2 linked regions of the Struthio camelus genome follow. The protein of the gene in region 1 interacts with the protein of each later gene in a biochemical or structural test. Links are inferred from orthologs where the notes say so. Each region holds a gene or a part of one and is shown in the gene's direction. Other genes may lie near its edges. The genes, in order: STAT2 and IFNAR1.

Region 1 (8,419 bases):
AGTCTGGGGGAAGAACTGGATTCCTGGGTCCTCTGTGGGAGGAGTGGGGGCAGTCAAGGTTTCTTCCTGCTCCTCCACAACAGTCTCCTGCTCCCGTAGGGGAGGACATCATTGCAAACATCCTGGCCCACCTGCAGGCGCCTGGGCGCACGCGGAGACAAGTTGTGAACCAGCTGGTGCGGCTGGGGCTGGCCAACAGCGTCAAGGACTTCCCACGGGAGAGGTGGGTCTGGCCGCCACTGGGGCAGGATGCCTTTGTTTGATGTCCTCAGGGCCAGGGGGCCTGGTCGCCTGGGTTCTTTCCCAGCTCCAAGGCAGGGCTGAGCAGTTGCAATCCCCCTAGGAAGGGCACCCGCATCGTGCTGTGGACGCAGGAGCAGGAGCTGGAGCTGGAGCGGCTCTTTGAGGAGTTCCAGGGCACAGATGGTGGGTGGGGCCGGGCAGGGGTGGGCGCCCAGTGGGGCAGCCCCCAGGTTGGGGCTCTGGCCAGGCTTGGTGCCCCACACTCACTCCTCACCTCCCCATAGATGTCCTGGGCAACATCATGAAGAACCTGACAGCCAGGCGGTCCCGGGCCCGCGTGGTGGAGAAGCTGCTGGGGCTGGGGCTGGTGTCGGAGCGCAAGGAACTGTACAAGAAACGCAGGAGGAAGGGCCATGCCCTCCTGGCGGTAGGAGGGGTGTGCGGGAAGGGTGAGGAGGGAGCCTTGTCCCAGGTGGGTGCTGGAAGGCAGGGCTGGTCCTTGGTAGGATGAGATGGAGCCCTTGGGGGCACCCGCCCGGGACAGCTCAGCAGAGGAGGGCGACAGTGACGAGGAGGAGGAGGAAGAGGACGGTGCTGAGGAAGGCCCCATGGAGGAGCACTGGGTGCCTGAAGACGGGGCTGGGCAGGGACTGGCACAGCGTCTGAGGCAGGAAGGTGAGTGGGGGCTGAGGCTGTTCAGGCCTCTGGTTTGCGTTTGGCTCCGGGAGGATGGATCCTGTCTGGCCTTCTCCGTGTCCGCAGGCCTGGCTGGGCCTCTGCAGTGGCTGGAGAACTACTTGAAGCGGACGGCTGGGGACCGCGAGGAGGACGGTGAGTGGGAGCCTGGGGCTGGGGGCCGGGGCCGGGGCCAGGGCCAGGCTCACGGCACTCTCTGTGCCCAGGCGTGTCCCACCCGGTGCCCTTGGTGCCGCTCTCGGAGGAGAACGAGGACGCTATGGAGGACAGGCGCTTCCAGGCCCTGCTGCGGAAGCTGGGGGTCCGGCCCCCTGCCAGCGAGCAGGTGAGACCCCCCCCACCACCACCACCATGCCCCCCAGGCACGGCGTAGCCCAGCCCTGCAGCATCTCCCCTCTCTACCCAGGAGTCCTTCTGGCGCATCCCGGCCACCCTCACGCCCCAGCAGCTCCGCCGTGCGGCTGCCTCCCTCGCCCGCCAAGGACCTGAGCCCGAGGGATCCCCGGGACAGCTCTCGGCACCGCAGCATCCCCAGGGGCCAGCTCCAGGTGAGGGGCCGGGACAGGGTGGGGGGAGCTGGGCTCAGGGCTCTCCCAGCGACGGGACCAGCCCTGATCCGCTCTTTCCCTTGTCCCTCTCAGCAGAGCAGCCACCGGCTTCGCCGGGATCGGACTTGGAGAGGTGAGAAGGGGAGCTCTTGCTAGACCCCTGCCCCAGACACCTGGGTCTTCTCCCAGCTTGGGGGGGGGGGGCAGACTCCTGGCCTCTCCCCGTGTGGTGGGGACAGACCTGTGCCCCTGGGGCTGGGCAGCGCAGCGTCGGCCTCTTCTAACCCGTCGCCATCGCTACAGTGCTGAGCCGGGCCCGGTCCCGGCACAGGCGGGCACCAAGCGGAGGTGGCAGGTGCACAGTGACGACGAGGACACTGCAAGCCTGGGTGAGCTGCGCCCCTGCTTCTTGCATGTAACACAGCACCTCCCTGGGGGGCTCGCAGCCCCCCACCAGGGCCCAGGGGGTCTCCCACAGGGCTGCTGCTGGGTGATGCTCACCATGTCCCTGCCCCCCAGAGCGTGGGGCTGGGAGGAAGGCTGAGTGCAGGGCTGGGCCCCCACCCCAGGCAGAGTATGGTGCTGGGGGTCCCGGCCCCCACTGGACCCCCTCTGCCCCTGCAGGTGCTGGGCCAGGCCCTGCTGGGCCCTGTGTGGAGGAGGATGAGGTGCTGCAGCCCCCCAGCAGGCGGAAGCGGGTTCGCCGCGTGGAGGAGGAGGAAGAGGAAGAGGAGGACTGAAAGGCTCTTTGTGCCCTGCCCAGACCCTCAGTGTATCCCAGCCCTGCAGGGAGCAGGGGGCTGCGGGCCCTGCTCCCTGTGGGCTTCCTTGTATTTAGTTTTCTGCTTTTTCTGCAGGTTTTTAAACTAGTTTTTAAGGGTGGGGTGAAAGCAGGCTCCCACTGTCCCCCTCCTCTCCCCTTCTCATGTCCATCTCCGTGTTTTTAGTTTAAAGGTTGCTGTTTCTCAAGGATGTCCTTTTCTTTTCTAATGCCACCTTTTAATGGGGAAAGAGACCAAATAAAAAGTGCAAATCTCTCCCTGACTTGGATGCCTTCGTTCCCATGGGGGGAGCACTGCCCCATCCCTGCTGCGTCCCCTCCTCTGTCCCACCGCGCTGGGTGGAGACCTCTGTCCCCTCCCACCCCTCTGTTCCGGGAAGGTGCCAAGATGCTTGCAGGATCGGGCCCAGCCCCCAGCGTGTCGCAACCGGCCCTCGATAAGGGCCCAGGCAGGGGCTATAAAAGGACCAGAGAAGGGGGTCGGCCACAGACACGCAGCGGCTGTCCTGCGGGCTTGGGGACGCGAGCATCGGCAGTGGGTGAGCGGGGGCGCTGGTGGGGCTGGGGTGGTTGGGGGGGGGGGGGGGAGCTGTGGCCACCGGGAGCTCATGGGCTCTGCCCCCTCCTGCTGCCTTGACAGGCTCTGCCGGGAACGACCTGCCATGCGCTGGGCTCTGCTCAGCCTCCTCCTCTGCCTTGGCGCTGCGGCCAGCTCCACCGTGCCCCCCGGGCCGGACGCTGCCGCCGCAGCTCGGGCGCTGCTGGCGCGGCTCTCCGAGCTGGGCCTGCCGCAGGCACTGCCCGGGGCCGCCGGCGTCTCCTGCCGTGACCTGCAGCCCGATGCCCTGCCCGGCTTCTCCCAGCTCCCGGCGCTGCCCCGCGTGCTGGCCCAGGCTGCCCTGGCGCTGGCGCTCAGCGAGGCGGGCTGCGGCCCCCAGGCCGAGGCGCTGGTGCTGGGGCTGTACCGGGAGCTTGAGGGCCCCACGGCTGAGGCCCTGCTGCAGGGGCTGGTGCGGCTCCAGCGTGCCCCGGGCAGCGGCCACCTGCCCCTGCTCTTGAGCCTGGCCCAGCTCGGCGCCTCCGTCCCCGTCCAGCCCTGCGCCGGCCTGACGCCGCTCTCCAACATCCAGCTCTGGGGCCCCGTGGCCAGCACCCACAGCCGCTTCGCCGGGGCCGCGAGGGCCTGCCAGCGCCTGCAGGCTGCCTGCGCCGGCGTGGCAGCCGCGGGGCCCTCCTCCTTCCAGGCCGTGCGGCGTCAGGGCGCCCAGGTGCTGCCGGCGCTGGGGGCCCGCTCCTGGCTCCAGCGGTGCAGCCGGGCGCCCCGGGGCCGGAGCCGGCGCTCCAGCGAGGACATCTGCAGCTCGCCGGGGGAGCAGGAGGTGCACAGGATCCTGGAGTGGGTGCCCAGCATCAGCACCTTGTACAACCTGGGCACCAGCCTCTACTACGCCTACCAGGGCTGCGAGGAGCTGGCGTCTGAGCGGGCCTTGGAGGCGGCCGTCGACCTGGGCTACGACAGCCTCACGGCGCTCAGCGCCGCCGCGGGCGGCCCCGTGGCCTACGGCGTCCACCTGGGGCTGCAGCCGGGGCTCAAGGCCAGCGTGCGGGCCCTCATCTGCTACTTCACCTCGGACGGGGACCCCCCGCCGGCCCCCACGGCCCACGCCGGCCCTGTCCTCCTCGTCTGAGCCGCCAATAAACACCTGGCAGCGCCTCTGGCTGCGTGTGCGTGCGTGCATGCGTGCGTGTGGGGCAGGCCACGATCAATGGCTGGGTCACCCTGCCCCGGGGCAAGGGGAACTTGGCCCGGCCCGCGCCAACGGCAGGGCTCTGGCCCCTGCCAGCCCTGCCTGCCTGCCCCAGCAGCGCCGCCGCGCCGGGGTGGCTGGGGCAGCCGGGCTGGCCCCATAGCCCTGGCCCCACAGCCCGGCCCTGGCCCCACAGCCCTGGCCCCACAGCCTGTTCCTGTCCCCATGACCCTGTCCCCATGGCCCTGGCCCCACAGCCTGGCCCTGGCCCCACAGCCTGTTCCTGTCCCCATAGCTCTGGCCCCACAGCCTGGCCCTGGCCTCACAGCCCTGGCCCCACAGCCTGTTCCTGTCCCCATAGCTCTGGCCCCACAGCCTGGCCCTGGCCTCACAGCCCTGGCCCCACAGCCTGTTCCTGGCCCCATGGTCCTGTCCCCATAGCTCTGGCCCCACAGCCTGGCCCTGGCCTCACAGCCCTGGCCCTACAGCCTGTTCCTGGCCCCATGGTCCTGTCCCCATAGCTCTGGCCCCACAGCCTGGCCCTGGCCTCACAGCCCTGGCCCCACAGCCTGTTCCTGGCCCCATGGTCCTGTCCCCATAGCTCTGGCCCCACGGCCTGTTCCTGGCCCCATGGTCCTGTCCCCATAGCTCTGGCCCCACAGCCTGGCCCTGGCCTCACAGCCCTGGCCCCACAGCCTGTTCCTGGCCCCATGGTCCTGTCCCCATAGCTCTGGCCCCACGGCCCTGGCTCCAGGTCCCTGCCGCCGCGGCCTGCCCCCAGCAGGGCGCCACCATCTTCCCCCTCCCTGCCCCGTTAGCCCCGCCCCCCATGGCCCCGCCCCCCTCCACACGTCATTTCTGGGAAGCGGGCGACCCCGCGGGAAGACTTATCTCCCGGCCGGGGGGGCGTGGCCACGGCGCCGCTCTCCGCCAATGGCTGCGCAGAGCGGCGAGGGGGCGGGGCCACGGAGCCCTCCCCGCCCCGTCCCGGCAGTCCGCGGAGGGGGCCGAGGTGGGAGCGCAGCGCCGAGCACCGGGCGGGGGCCGCGGGGGGCGCCGGGGGGCGCCGGGGGGCGCAGGGAGCCCTCTTTAGGGGGCGTCCCCGGGGGAGTGCAGGGTGGTCCTGCCGGGGGGCGTCCCCGGGGGGGTGCAGGGAGCCCTGTTTAGGGGGTGTCCCTGGGGGGGTGCAGGGAGCCCTCTTTAGGGGCGTCCCTAGGCAGGGTGCAGGGTGGTCCTGCCGGGGGGTGTCCCCGGGGGGGTGCAGGGAGCCCTGTTTAGGGGGTGTCCCTGGGGGGGTGCAGGGAGCCCTCTTTAGGGGGCGTCCCCGGGGGGGTGCAGGGTGGTCCTGCCGGGGGGCGTCCCTGGGGGTTGCAGGGAGCCCTGTTTAGGGGGCGTCCCCGGGGGAGTGCAGGGAGCCCCTGCCAAGGGTGCCCCGGGGGGGGTGCAGGGTGGCCCTTTGGGGGGTGCCCCTGGGGGGCGCAGGGAGCCCTGTTTAGGGGGTGCCCCCGGGGGGGGTTGCAGGGAGGCCCTGCGAGGGGTCCTTTGGGGGTGCTGCTGGGGGGGTGCAGGGAGCCGCTTTGGGGGGTGCCCTGGGACGCTCCCCTTGTTCTGGGGAGGGCTGCCTCCCCACCCCGTATCTCGGCCCCCCCGAGCACGCCTGTCCCGGGCCGGGTCCCAGCCCGACGCCCTCCCTGGCTCACCGCTCCCCGCCGGGCCAGGACCGGGGCTGCCAGCGCCTGCACGGAGCCCCGGGCCGGGGCAGGGCCCGCGGCTGAGCCGCCTGCCGAGCGAGCGGCCTCGCCTGGCCCCAGCATGGCCCAGTGGCAGGAGCTGCAGAGCTTGGCCAACGCCGCCCTGGAGCAGGTCGACCAGCTGTACAGCAGCGTGGCGCTGCCCATGGAGGTGCGCCAGTGCCTGGCGGCCTGGATCGAGGACCAGAACTGGTAAGGGGGCGGTGGGGGGGGGGACGGGACGGGGGGAGCCCTGGGGCGGCGGGAACCGCGCCGGGTCCCCGCTGACCCCGCGCGGGGCCGGCAGGCGCCAGGCGGCCGAGCCGCTCTCCTCCCACGCCCGGATGCTCTTCCACTCCTTGTTGGCGCTGCTGGGCGACCAGCTGGGCAGCCCGGGGCTGGGCGACGAGGACTTCATGCTCAAACACAACCTGCGCAAGGCCAGGCGCGACCTCCAGGTAGGCGGCGAGGCTGGGCTGGGGGGTCCTGGGGGGGCTCCGCACCCTGCTGACCCCCCCCTCCACCTCATCCGCAGGCTGCTTTCGAGGAGCACCCGGAGAAATTTGCCAACCTGGTGGCCAACCTGCTGCAGGAGGAGCAGCGCATCCTGCGCCTGGCGCACGCGGGGCAGCAGGTAGGAGGGGGGCCGGCAGGCGCCCCCCCCCGCCCGCCGGGCCGGCTGGTGCCCAAGAGCCCCGTGTCTCCGCAGGGGGGGGCGGCCCCAGCGCCCAGCGCGCCCCCGCAGAGCGACCGGCAGCAGGAGATCCAGCGCCGGCTGGCCGACTTCCAGGCGGCCCTGCAGGTAACGGCCCCCGCCGGCACGGCCACCCGGGCGGCGCAGGGCGGCACGGCCCCCCTCACCCCCCGCTCTGCCCCCAGGACGCCGAACGCGCCTTCCGCCACCTGGAAGACGCGCAGGACATGTTTGATTTCTGCTACAAGGTGCACTACCTTCCGGGTAAGGCTCGTTTGGGGTGCCCAAATCCTTCCTGCGACCCCTGCAGGCAGCAGAGACGCGGGGCCGGGGAGGGCCGGGGTGCCGGCCCCCCCTCACCCCTGACCCCCCAGGCGAGAACAGGACCAGCGATCCCGAGTACGCCAAGCAGGTCCAAGGGCTCCAGGCCAAGCTGCAGAAGCTGGACCGGAGCCGGAGGGTGAGCGGGGCCCTGAGCTGGGCGGGGGGCCAGGCCTGCCCTGCACCCCCTGCTCAGGCTCCCGTCTCCCCCCAGGACGTGCTGGCTCAAATGCAGCAGCTGCTGGGGCGCAGCGAGACCCTGCGGGACTTCCTGCAGCAGGAGCTGGGGGCCTGGCGGGAGCGGCAGCAGCGCGCCTGCCTGGGGGCCCCCGCCGACACCAGCCTGCTCCAGCTGGAGACCTGGTAGGGCCGGGCCGGGCCGGGGCTGGGGGCGCCGCGGCCGGCCCCCGCTGACGCTGCCGCGGCGCCCGCAGGTTCACGGCGCTGGGCGAGGGGCTCTTCCAGCTGCTGCAGCTGTTGCGGGCGCTGGGGGACCTGCGGCACAAGGTGACCTACGAGAGGGACCCGCTGCAGGCAGAGCCGCCCCTCCTGGAGACGCGGCTGCGGGAGCTGCTCACCTACCTGCTCCAGAGGTGGGCGCAAAGCCTGGGCGGGGGGGGGGACGCAGGGCTCTGGGGCGGCCCTGACCCCCCGCCGGCCGCTCGCCCCCAGCGCCTTCGTGGTGGAGCTCCAGCCCAGCATGCCCACCTCCAGCAAGCGCCCGCTGGTGCTGCGCACGGCCAGCAAGTTCTCCGTCCGCGCCCGCCTCCTCGTCCACCTGCACGACCGCAGCCACCACATGGAGGCCAAGATCCACATCGACAGGTCGGGCCCCCCCCCACACCCGGATGCATTCCCCCGCCTCCCCACAGAGGGGGGATTTGGGGACCCCCCAGCCTCGCCGTGGGGCTCCCAGGGCCCGCTGACGCCCTGCTGTCTCTTGCAGGGACCCCCCCAAGATCCGAGGGTGAGAGCTGAGTGCCGGCCCCCAAAGCGTCCCGGCTCCCGAGGGAGGATCCCGGCTCCCAGGGAGGATCCCAGCCCCTGCGGGGGTCCCAGCTGCAGCGGCCCCCACCCTTGGCCTCTCTCTGCCCCGCAGTTTCCGCAAGTTCAACATCTTGACGTCAAACAGCAAAACCCTGGTGGCGGGTGACGGCCCCCAGGACGGGCTGGTCTGCGACTTCCAGCACCTGGTACAGACCCCCCCGGACGCCTGGGTCCTCTTCCAGGCAGGGAGAGCGGGGCAGGGGCTCAGCACCCCCAGCCCGGCTCGAGCCCCCTCCCCGGGCCCTGGACTGACTCTCTCGTGCCCCGCAGACGCTGAAGGAGCAGAAAGTCAGCGGGTCGGGCAAGGGCAGCAAAGGCGCCGGCGAGGTGGGTGCGGGTCTGCGGGGGGCAGGCAGCACCCGGGGCTGCGGCCAGCAGCTCAGGGCGCCCATCCCCGCAGGGTCCCCTGGCCGTGACAGAGGAGCTGCATCTCATCACCTTCACGCTGGCCTACGCCTACCGCGGGCTGGAGCTGGAGCTGGAGGTGAGGGCCGGGGGCTGGGGGCTGAGGGCTGCGGGGGGGCTGGCCTGACACCCGCTTCCTCCCGCAGACCTCCACGCTGCCCGTCGTCATCGTCTCCAACAACAACCAGCTCTCCAGCGCCTGGGCC
Region 2 (8,533 bases), on another chromosome or scaffold:
TTTTGGAAAACTTGCACCGCTGTTATGTAGCTTGCCCCAATGTGAAATACTCTGGTTCCAACAACAGTAAAATCTCAGAAGCAAATTGCTTGTGATGTTAGAAAGATACAGACACAGATCTGTTTACACGGACAAAAGTTTTCTCTGTTGTAGTAGCATTTATATGGAAAATCCCTAAACTATAACCCTGTCCTACTTCATGCCACTCCCTTTGGAAGGGGGAGGGGAAAAATCTCCATTTGTGAAGAAGTTAGTGGGGTTTCGTGCGACACAATGCTGGGAAGGAAGCAGGCATTTTTTGAACATATACTTTATTTGTAATGTTTTCATCTTCCAAAATGTTTCACTGTTCCAAAAGGGGCAAATACTATGCAGAGGACACAAACCACAGTACAGTCCATGAGACACGTAAAATAATCCTTCCCACTATTTAGCACTTGCAAGGCCATGTGGAAGGCTATATCCAGTGCTGAGAAAAGTCTGGAGGAGGACAACAAAATACGCTCTGTGAAGGAAAATTAAAAGAACTGGTATTATGTAGCCTCACAAAGAGAAGTCTGATGGGGACATAACAACCTCCAAATATGTAAAAGGCTGCTGAAAACAGGAAATGAATAAACTCTTTTATAAATGTCCACGATAGACAGGAAGCAAGTTACTAGACTGCAACAGGCAGCCCTATGAGGAACAGTTTTATAATGATGACAACAGAAAAGACATGGAAGATATTGCCTGGAAGGTGGCATAAAAACCTAAAAACAAATATCCATTAGAAAGGAGACAAAAACAACTGATCCTGCCTTGGGGCTGCACAATGAACTGCTGGGCCTCCTAGGGTTCTGCCTTTGTGGCACGACTTTTCTATGCTTTTCTAAAAAGACGAAATACTGTATTTGCTTCTTTTATCGCGCTCCAGAGTTCACAGAAGAAATAAGCAAAAGGCTTCTCCTTTGTCTGTGAGCCAACTGAAATAAATGCAATGGAGCCTGCCTGGCTTAGCTGCCGCCACTGCACAGATGTTTTAGTACTGACAGTGATATTCACAGGGGAACACACCATCTTCCCCTGTGTTGGGTTGCCTGTGTACTGTAGATAGAGCCTGTCTTCTAATAGATTGGACTGACTCCAGTTTCTGTCTCTTTCTTCTGTAAGACCAGTGAGGAAGTTGCATTCAGTTTTACAGGAATATAAACTGTAAACACTGTGGTATATTTATTAGACTTCTAATTATTTCCACCAGCAATAGACTAGCACATTAGGTGCAGTTCATTTCATGATATAGACTGCAAAATGGTTGCTGTGAAATGCAATTTACATAAAATAACTTGCTGTAAATATGTTTTCCTGTACACTTTGAGCATAAGATAACAAATTATCATAGAACAAATTTGGCTGAGGGTGAAAAATGCCCTGCAACAATACATCCTCCTAAGCGATATGTTATAGGCAGCCATTTATCCTTTACAGGCTCCATCGTAACGCATCATTTATTTCAGTAACAGTCCATTCTTGAAGTGCAGCATAAATTTCTTTCTCCTGGCAATGTTTTCCTGGCTGAGCAGCTCTACCTTATAACATGCTTTTAACTAACCTCCTCTTTTTAGTATAGGAGTACCTTCCATCTTGCAGTAACACATCTTTCATAATTCTTGCAGCCAACTCCTAACTTTAAAGAGCTTAGTTTTCCTCTCACTAGACTTGAAAGAAATGTGCTGAGTACATCTCTTGACTTTTAGCACTTCATGACTGTCTATGAGGGGCTGTTAAGCCTACAGCTGTGCAGAACAATTCATCCAGTCCGCAGCTCCTTCTCGGTAGTCTTTTCCTAGAAGCCTCTTGAAAGTGAGCTGCAAGATGGAAACACTAGCCAAGAGCTGGCAGTCACGCTCTCAGGCACCAGCATTTTCTGTTGTCAAAGTCCTTCTCTCATCACGTAGCAAGTGCTGCCACCAGAGCCCATTGCTTGCTCCCCAGCTCAGTTTCAGGAGCGCTTGGGTGTGCGAGGAGCTGAGCGAGGCCGTATGAACTGCTCTGACAGCAGCTGCCTCCTCCTACATGGCCGTCTTCCCAGGTGGTCCTCAGATCTGTGCAGCAACAGGCTGCAGGCACCAAATAAGCATGTTTCTTATTGGTGTCTGCATCTCTATAAGTTCATGTGTGTCAGAAAAGATGGCACTTCCAGGAAACACTGAACCTTGCGTGCATCTGCCGCATACACGATTCGTGCACGCACCGTAAACCTAGCAGTCCTGGGAAGGGGTGGAGCCCTCATGGACAAGTCTATTTTTTCATGCGCAATATGACCCATCTTATAATGGGAAAGGGCTGCGTAGTATAGGCCTGGTTTGACCCTATAGGACGGTATGCGTCTTCCTCAGGTGGAGGACTGTGGCATCACTGACGCACCAAGTGAAGGCCTGTTTTGTGGTAACCATTGGCAAAATAATATGCCATTTGGGTTCCTTATCAGGGAGACCATCATCTGGAGAGTCCTAGTGTGGCCAGTGCATGTCAGTATTAGAAAATTATCAAAGAATTACTCACAAAGGACTAAAAGAAAATTGACTGCCACTGGAAAGTCTGTCTCTTCAAAATGGTGTTCTTAATACCACGGAGCTAATAAAAGGTTATCATTTCACTTCATTTATTAGAGAGCGCTTACTGCTAAAAGGTTAGATGTGTACTGCCTGTGGTAGTATAATAGCTGTGTTGAATGTTGCTTTGAAATCCTCATGTTAAGATTTCAAAGATGGTTCAATAATGCTAATATACTAACTTTTTTTGTTTTACAGCTTCATAAAGAAGATAAATAATTGCCTTTGTTTTAGAGAACAACTTGTTTACACAGAAACCACACATGGTAATCACGGTGAAACTAATATTTCGCAAACAGATTAGGCCCTACTTGTTTTGCTTTCATCACAAAACTGCTTTTCCTCACTGATTATCTGGTGACTACATCATATGATGATCCTGATAGACATGATAGCCCAAAATGACTGGTACTCAATAGTGTAACAATTCTATCATTCACTCAATCAATTATCTTTCACAATAAATAAACCTCTGCATTATAAATTTTTTGCATTGTATACTTATTGATCAAAACAGATTAATAATAGAAAACAGAAAGTAAAATTACATTCATTGCTTAAAAACTCCATAAACTACTTTTTCTTTAAAGAAATTGTGCTAAGCATAGGCACTTGTAACATGCTAGACAACATTAGACACTGGGTGTTTCAAAGGATATAATTATCCACAACCTCCTCTAAGTCTTCACCAAAATGGTATTAACCTCCTCTTAATCATCAGTATTTTTGATGGTACAGGTTTGCAGCTTTTACCTCCCTGAGCCGAGTAAGCCTGTACATGCATCCATTCATTTGCAGGAACTAATAGCATCTACATTTCACAAGTACAGTTTGATATTAATGGTATGGGCTTTTTATTATGAACATAATTGTGGTATTTCTGACAATATTGGGTCCATAGTATTTCACCTTCATTCACATTTTTGAGACCATCTAGAAATGGAATATGACTGAGATATACACACCCCTCTGAAGCATATTTAATGACTGACTTCAAGTGGAACTACATTGGCCCTAGGATCTTCTGAAGCTTTGTGATTATGTCTTCAATAGCTGATCAGAAGGCTGCACACTAGCATTTCTCTTCTTGGTCCCTAAGAATATGACACTTACAGTTCTGCAATTAGAAAGGATCTGTATTGTAATTAAAAAAAAAAAAAGTAATAATCAATGTGAAGTAAATAAGAGCAGCAGAGTGACAGATGTACAAACGGAACTGACATTGTGGTTACCTGTTCCCATGTTGATGACCACCTTGGAAAAGCAACTCATAGAAAGGTTATCATACGAAAATATGATACAAACCATAAAAATGATCTGTCTCTGGCTCAACTTTTGCCATCTCACGTGGTACTGGTGACTTAACTGCCTCATGGTCAGAACAGGGTCCCTACACCTGTATCTCAAAATAAAGCTGATTTTGCTCATTTGTGTATCTTGCTTGAGTAGTCCTCAAGCATTTCTTAAAGATTTACAGACCAAAAGAATTTAGGCTCCAATCATGAGCATCTTGTGTGCTCCCCGCCTGTGTTCCCAGAGGGCCTAGATTTAGTAGACATGCTCAAAGCATATCAAACACCTCATGGCAGAAAAGGCAGCAGCCAATACCATTTTTGTCCAGAAGCATGGCTGGAAGCATTGTTGCTTCCTTATGCCACAAATAATGTCATATTCATAGCACCTAGGATGTGGAAAATACAGGCCTTTGCCTGCTGGAGTTTCAAATCCTCATCTCTGAATACACTGTTGTGCCCACTTAGGAGTAGGTTGTTTTCAGGGGGTAGGAAGTGAAAGGTAACCTCTCATTGCTCCTCCCATTGCAGCTGGATAACCTTATTGAAAAATATGAAACAGAAAAAGGGAAGGCGAGCTCTGTAGTCAAGAAACTAGGACTCCTACCTGCAAAAAGAGTAAGCTGGGGTCCAAACCCCACTGCAAGGGCAGCAGTATGCATGCTGCATTGAACACTCACTGTAGCCTTCATCATACACTCAAGGAGCAGGGCAGACTAGACCAGAACACAGATTTTCCCCTCTGCAGACAATCGCCCTAACTCCTGAAACTCTACAGATTTTGTTTCTCCCTCTGTGACTCAAAGTATCTTGTGATTTGTTGATTTTTTTGACTATCTATAAGGGGGCACATTGTCAGAAAGGCCCCTTTCCCTTAGGGTTGTGTGAATGGGTTCTCTCGGCTTTGGGAGGAGAGCAAGCTACCAGACAGCACCGGCAGGCCAAGGACAGGAAACATGAGCGCTGACAAGACGGCTGAGAAGAACGAATTTATGCCAAAGCCAAGTTCCTCCCCACCAGAAGACACCCAGCTCTCTGGGTTTTCTCTGGAGACGCACCACAGAGCGTCCAAACCCACTTGCTCTCCTCAGACGACATCTCCTACTGCCACTGCTGGAAGCAAAACATCTGACGGGCCGCTAGTCGCCCCCAGGCCGACGTTTCTCCCCGTCTTAACACGCCCTCATCACCCACCACCGCCGCCATTTCGCAGGCCGCAGCGGCGCGGAAGGCGGTCCGCGCATGCGCGGCGTGCCCGAGGCTTCCGGGAGCTGCGCGACCGCCCGCGGTAGCAGCTGCCGGATGGGCGGCGGGACGGTGGCGGCCGCCGCGGCTTAGGCGGGTCGCGGAGCCATGGCGGGGCTGCTCGCGGGGCTCCTCTCGTGCCTCCTGGTCGCGCTGGCCCCCCGCTGCGCAGGTGGGCCCGGGAGGGTAGGGCGCTGCGCCTTTGGCGGCGGGGCGCGCGGGGGCGGCTCGCGCCGCGTCCGTTAGCGTAGCGGGGTGGGGGGGGGGGGTCGGCGCGGCGCGGCGCGCGCCGCCGCTTCTGGCCGTTGGCGGCCGTTGGCGAAGCGGGGTCGCGTGCCCAGCCCTCTTGTCAGCCGTGTGGCCCCCGGCGGCGCCGGTAGCCGCGGGTCGTGCCTTGTGCCTGGGCTCTGTGCTGCTGTCCGCCCGCGCCCCGCCGCCGAGACCCGTAGCGGTGCTTGCCGTTCGCGGCTCGGCTCTCGGTTTCTTCAGGAGGCTTTGTGGTGAGACGTGGTCCTAGAAGCTGCTGGCAGCGTGGGCGCTGTGGTGTAGGCACAGCTCGGAGGGTATAAAAGCAGCCCGGATCTTGAATCTGGATTGGGTGTATCGTCTTGAGTGAGCAGGGCTCGGTGTAAGTTAGCCACCTAGCGTCTCGGTTTTTACCGTAGGTGATACATTTAGGTAGCTGTATTATCCAGTCTGCTTCAGGTTTACCTGCTGTATATGAAAAGTAGTGGCTGTAGTGTAAGTGTTTTGCAAACAGGTTCTTGAATCGTGCTAGTTTGCTTGAAAGGCATCTCTACTTAGCTTGGTAGAGCATAAAGTTTAAATAGGGAAATGAGAAAAGTAAGATTGCAGGAGGATTTTACCTTATGTGATAGCAACATAAGCCTCTTGTTATATCCTTAAGCATAGGGAAACCACATGTTGCTCAGAGCCTGCTTTCTTGAGAGGGAGATGTCAGGCATCTCCTGTAAGCTGTAAATTACCTTCCTGCATATTTATGATACATGACAGAATGCAGCAGAGAATATTTGGGCTAAGCTAGTTTGAATAACGGAGATGTTAGAGCTATGGGCTAGTGTGCGTATGCGCTTCTGATCCTAAGCTAGGCTGAGTTCTGGTAACTCTATAAGATTGCATTGTTTCAGTTTGGCATACCTAAAGGAAGGCTGGAGGCTGTTTTCTGGGGTCCACACTTCATGTTTGTGGTAGGATTCAAGCAGTTTGAGGACCTCTTGTGTTTCTTGCTTTCAGCTATTTGATATCTTCTGGTTTGTAAATGAACGCTTAGTGCATCACCCCAAAATTCCAGTCCCGAACTGGAAGTATTACGATACATGTGGCTACTTTGATTAACCCACACATTTATAGAAAATGAATAACGTGCCACATACCACAAGGGTTAGAAGAAACTGGCCGGCTGCAGTGACCTCTCACCTTCTGCCTTGCCAAAAAACAGCTGTTCCTTTCTGCTACTCCTGATTAAAAGTTCTTGCAGTAACCTTGGTTCTGTAGAGAACCTTTCCGTCCATGGAGCCAATAACAGTTTGATTGTCTCTGATATGGGTTTGGTTGTGGGTTTTGTTGTTCTTTTCAATGTGTTTTAGTATCACATATAATAGATCTCCTTTCCTTCCTATGCTAAAGGTTGAGTTAAAGTTTCCATTGGTTCCACCCACATAGTTAACGTGATGCTCTACTTTGCCCTCTTCTGAGGAGGTATATTTGTGTCTTGCTAAAACTAGTTTCTTCTGTTGTTAGATGACTTTTTGTTATGCTGCTGTGTTACGTAATCTTTGTTATTTTCAACCATCGCTTATTGAAAATACTCACTGGAATTAATTAATTGTCATTTATCCTTTGAGTATCACTAGCTTATAGCATTAGAACAGATTTTTATTTATTTGAGTTTATAAAAATATGACAAGGGAAGGAAGATAGGAAATCTTGCTAAAAGTTTTTTTTGTCTTTAATCTCTTCTTTCTTTGGCAGTCTAATCTCTTATAATATTATCCTCAGCACCAAAGTGTTGTGATGCTTTATATTAAGAAGTATGAATTGATCTTAAATGTGACTGCGTTTAATCAAGAGTAAAATAAGCCAGCAAGAAGTCTTGATTTTAGTGACTAACTTTAGTCTGGTTTACATTTGTTTATTTATGAAAAGTTTGATTCTAATTATCTAAATATCTAAATTATGGGGATTATCCGAATCTTGGCTATCCTTTCTGTTCCCCATAAGATCATGTTCCCCACATATCTATGTAAGCAGCTACAGTTATAATATGCATTTATGTTTTTAATACTTTACACCTGGGGAAAATGGTGATCCGTTCTGCATAGAAATATCATGATTTCTATCAGGCACTATTTGGAATGGAAACTAAAATTCAATTAAAATTCACAGGCAGATTATTCTTAATGAAGTTTTAGTTTTTTCAGGTAAAACTGGTACGAGTGTATAAGATACATATCTCTAATATTGATTTATTAAGCAATGGAAGAATTCCCTTTAATGGGAGAATTCGCCATCGACGACTGATTCATCAGGGTTTTAGAATGATGCGATCTTTTCATCTCCTCTTTCTAGTGGAGAAGAAGAAAACAAACTTTCCATCTTTTTTATTGGCTAATCTGTTTTTCAGCCTTTGACCGTTTCTTATACGGAACTGTTTGGATAAACTTAAATAAAACATACTGATATCAAAAGCGATTTTGTCACTACCGCAAGTTGTGGTCCCAGATGCTGAATCATTGTCAAACTGCTCAAGTTATTGAAAAACTTTTAGGTTTAAAGTCAGACTTGTCATGATTTTACATCTGAAAAAGATGGGAGGGAGTTGAGGAAAAATATAAATCATCACTTTATCCTCTCTGTTATGAAGTCTGCCATAAAACAGTATTATAACAGTCATGAAATAGGAGTATACTTTCATGTTCTTCATAATTCAAATAGGAGATTAAGAAATCGTTCTTGTTTCAGCATTTCCATTTTGAGTGAAATGATGTATAATTTTAAGCAACTTTTGATCTAACAACTTGTTTTCATTTTAAACAGTATTTAAAGATTCAAGGTGAACTTATAAGGCAGCTGCTTTTTCTAAGGCAGCAAATCCTAAATTAAACAGGCGTTGCAAACCTCTCCGTGAGGGTATGTGCAATTCAAGGCAGTGTATTGTGAATCTTGCTGTCTTGAACAAATTCTCTCTCTTCATCTCTATCAGCCATGAACTGGAAGATGTAATATGTCCTATATTCAAATAAACTATTCTTTGAAAACACTATAAAATTAAAATAAATGAAATATTAATTAGTAGATTTTGAAATGATTTTTTTCTTTCTTTGATTTACTCTCCCTGAGATGGGAATTTTTCAACTGCTTTGACCTGGTAGACAGGCAATT

Evidence for each region.
Region 2: the proteins of STAT2 (region 1) and IFNAR1 form a complex in vitro, tested with the Homo sapiens proteins (2 studies listed by BioGRID). The link is inferred for Struthio camelus from reciprocal best matches to the Homo sapiens genes STAT2 and IFNAR1.

What each region holds. Positions count from the first base shown.
Region 1 is NC_090969.1:443,571-451,989, forward strand, and holds the start of STAT2 (signal transducer and activator of transcription 2), read left to right. Parts: upstream 1-4,988; 5' UTR 4,989-5,028; intron 5,029-5,734; 5' UTR 5,735-5,828; coding exon 5,829-5,959; intron 5,960-6,053; coding exon 6,054-6,204; intron 6,205-6,281; coding exon 6,282-6,380; intron 6,381-6,455; coding exon 6,456-6,548; intron 6,549-6,625; coding exon 6,626-6,704; intron 6,705-6,814; coding exon 6,815-6,900; intron 6,901-6,975; coding exon 6,976-7,124; intron 7,125-7,195; coding exon 7,196-7,354; intron 7,355-7,433; coding exon 7,434-7,586; intron 7,587-7,707; coding exon 7,708-7,728; intron 7,729-7,860; coding exon 7,861-7,954; intron 7,955-8,078; coding exon 8,079-8,135; intron 8,136-8,208; coding exon 8,209-8,292; intron 8,293-8,359; coding exon 8,360-8,419. Other genes in the region: protein timeless homolog, read left to right, coding at 100-223, 344-426, 528-670, 750-918, 1,006-1,074, 1,146-1,264, 1,346-1,487, 1,581-1,620 and 2 more; APOF (apolipoprotein F), read left to right, coding at 2,931-3,956. UniProt on the Homo sapiens protein: Signal transducer and activator of transcription that mediates signaling by type I interferons (IFN-alpha and IFN-beta).
Region 2 is NC_090942.1:120,306,761-120,315,293, forward strand, and holds the start of IFNAR1 (interferon alpha/beta receptor 1), read left to right. Parts: upstream 1-5,118; 5' UTR 5,119-5,239; coding exon of another isoform or gene 5,240-5,303; intron 5,304-5,719; exon of another isoform or gene 5,720-5,759; intron 5,760-8,533. UniProt on the Homo sapiens protein: Together with IFNAR2, forms the heterodimeric receptor for type I interferons (including interferons alpha, beta, epsilon, omega and kappa).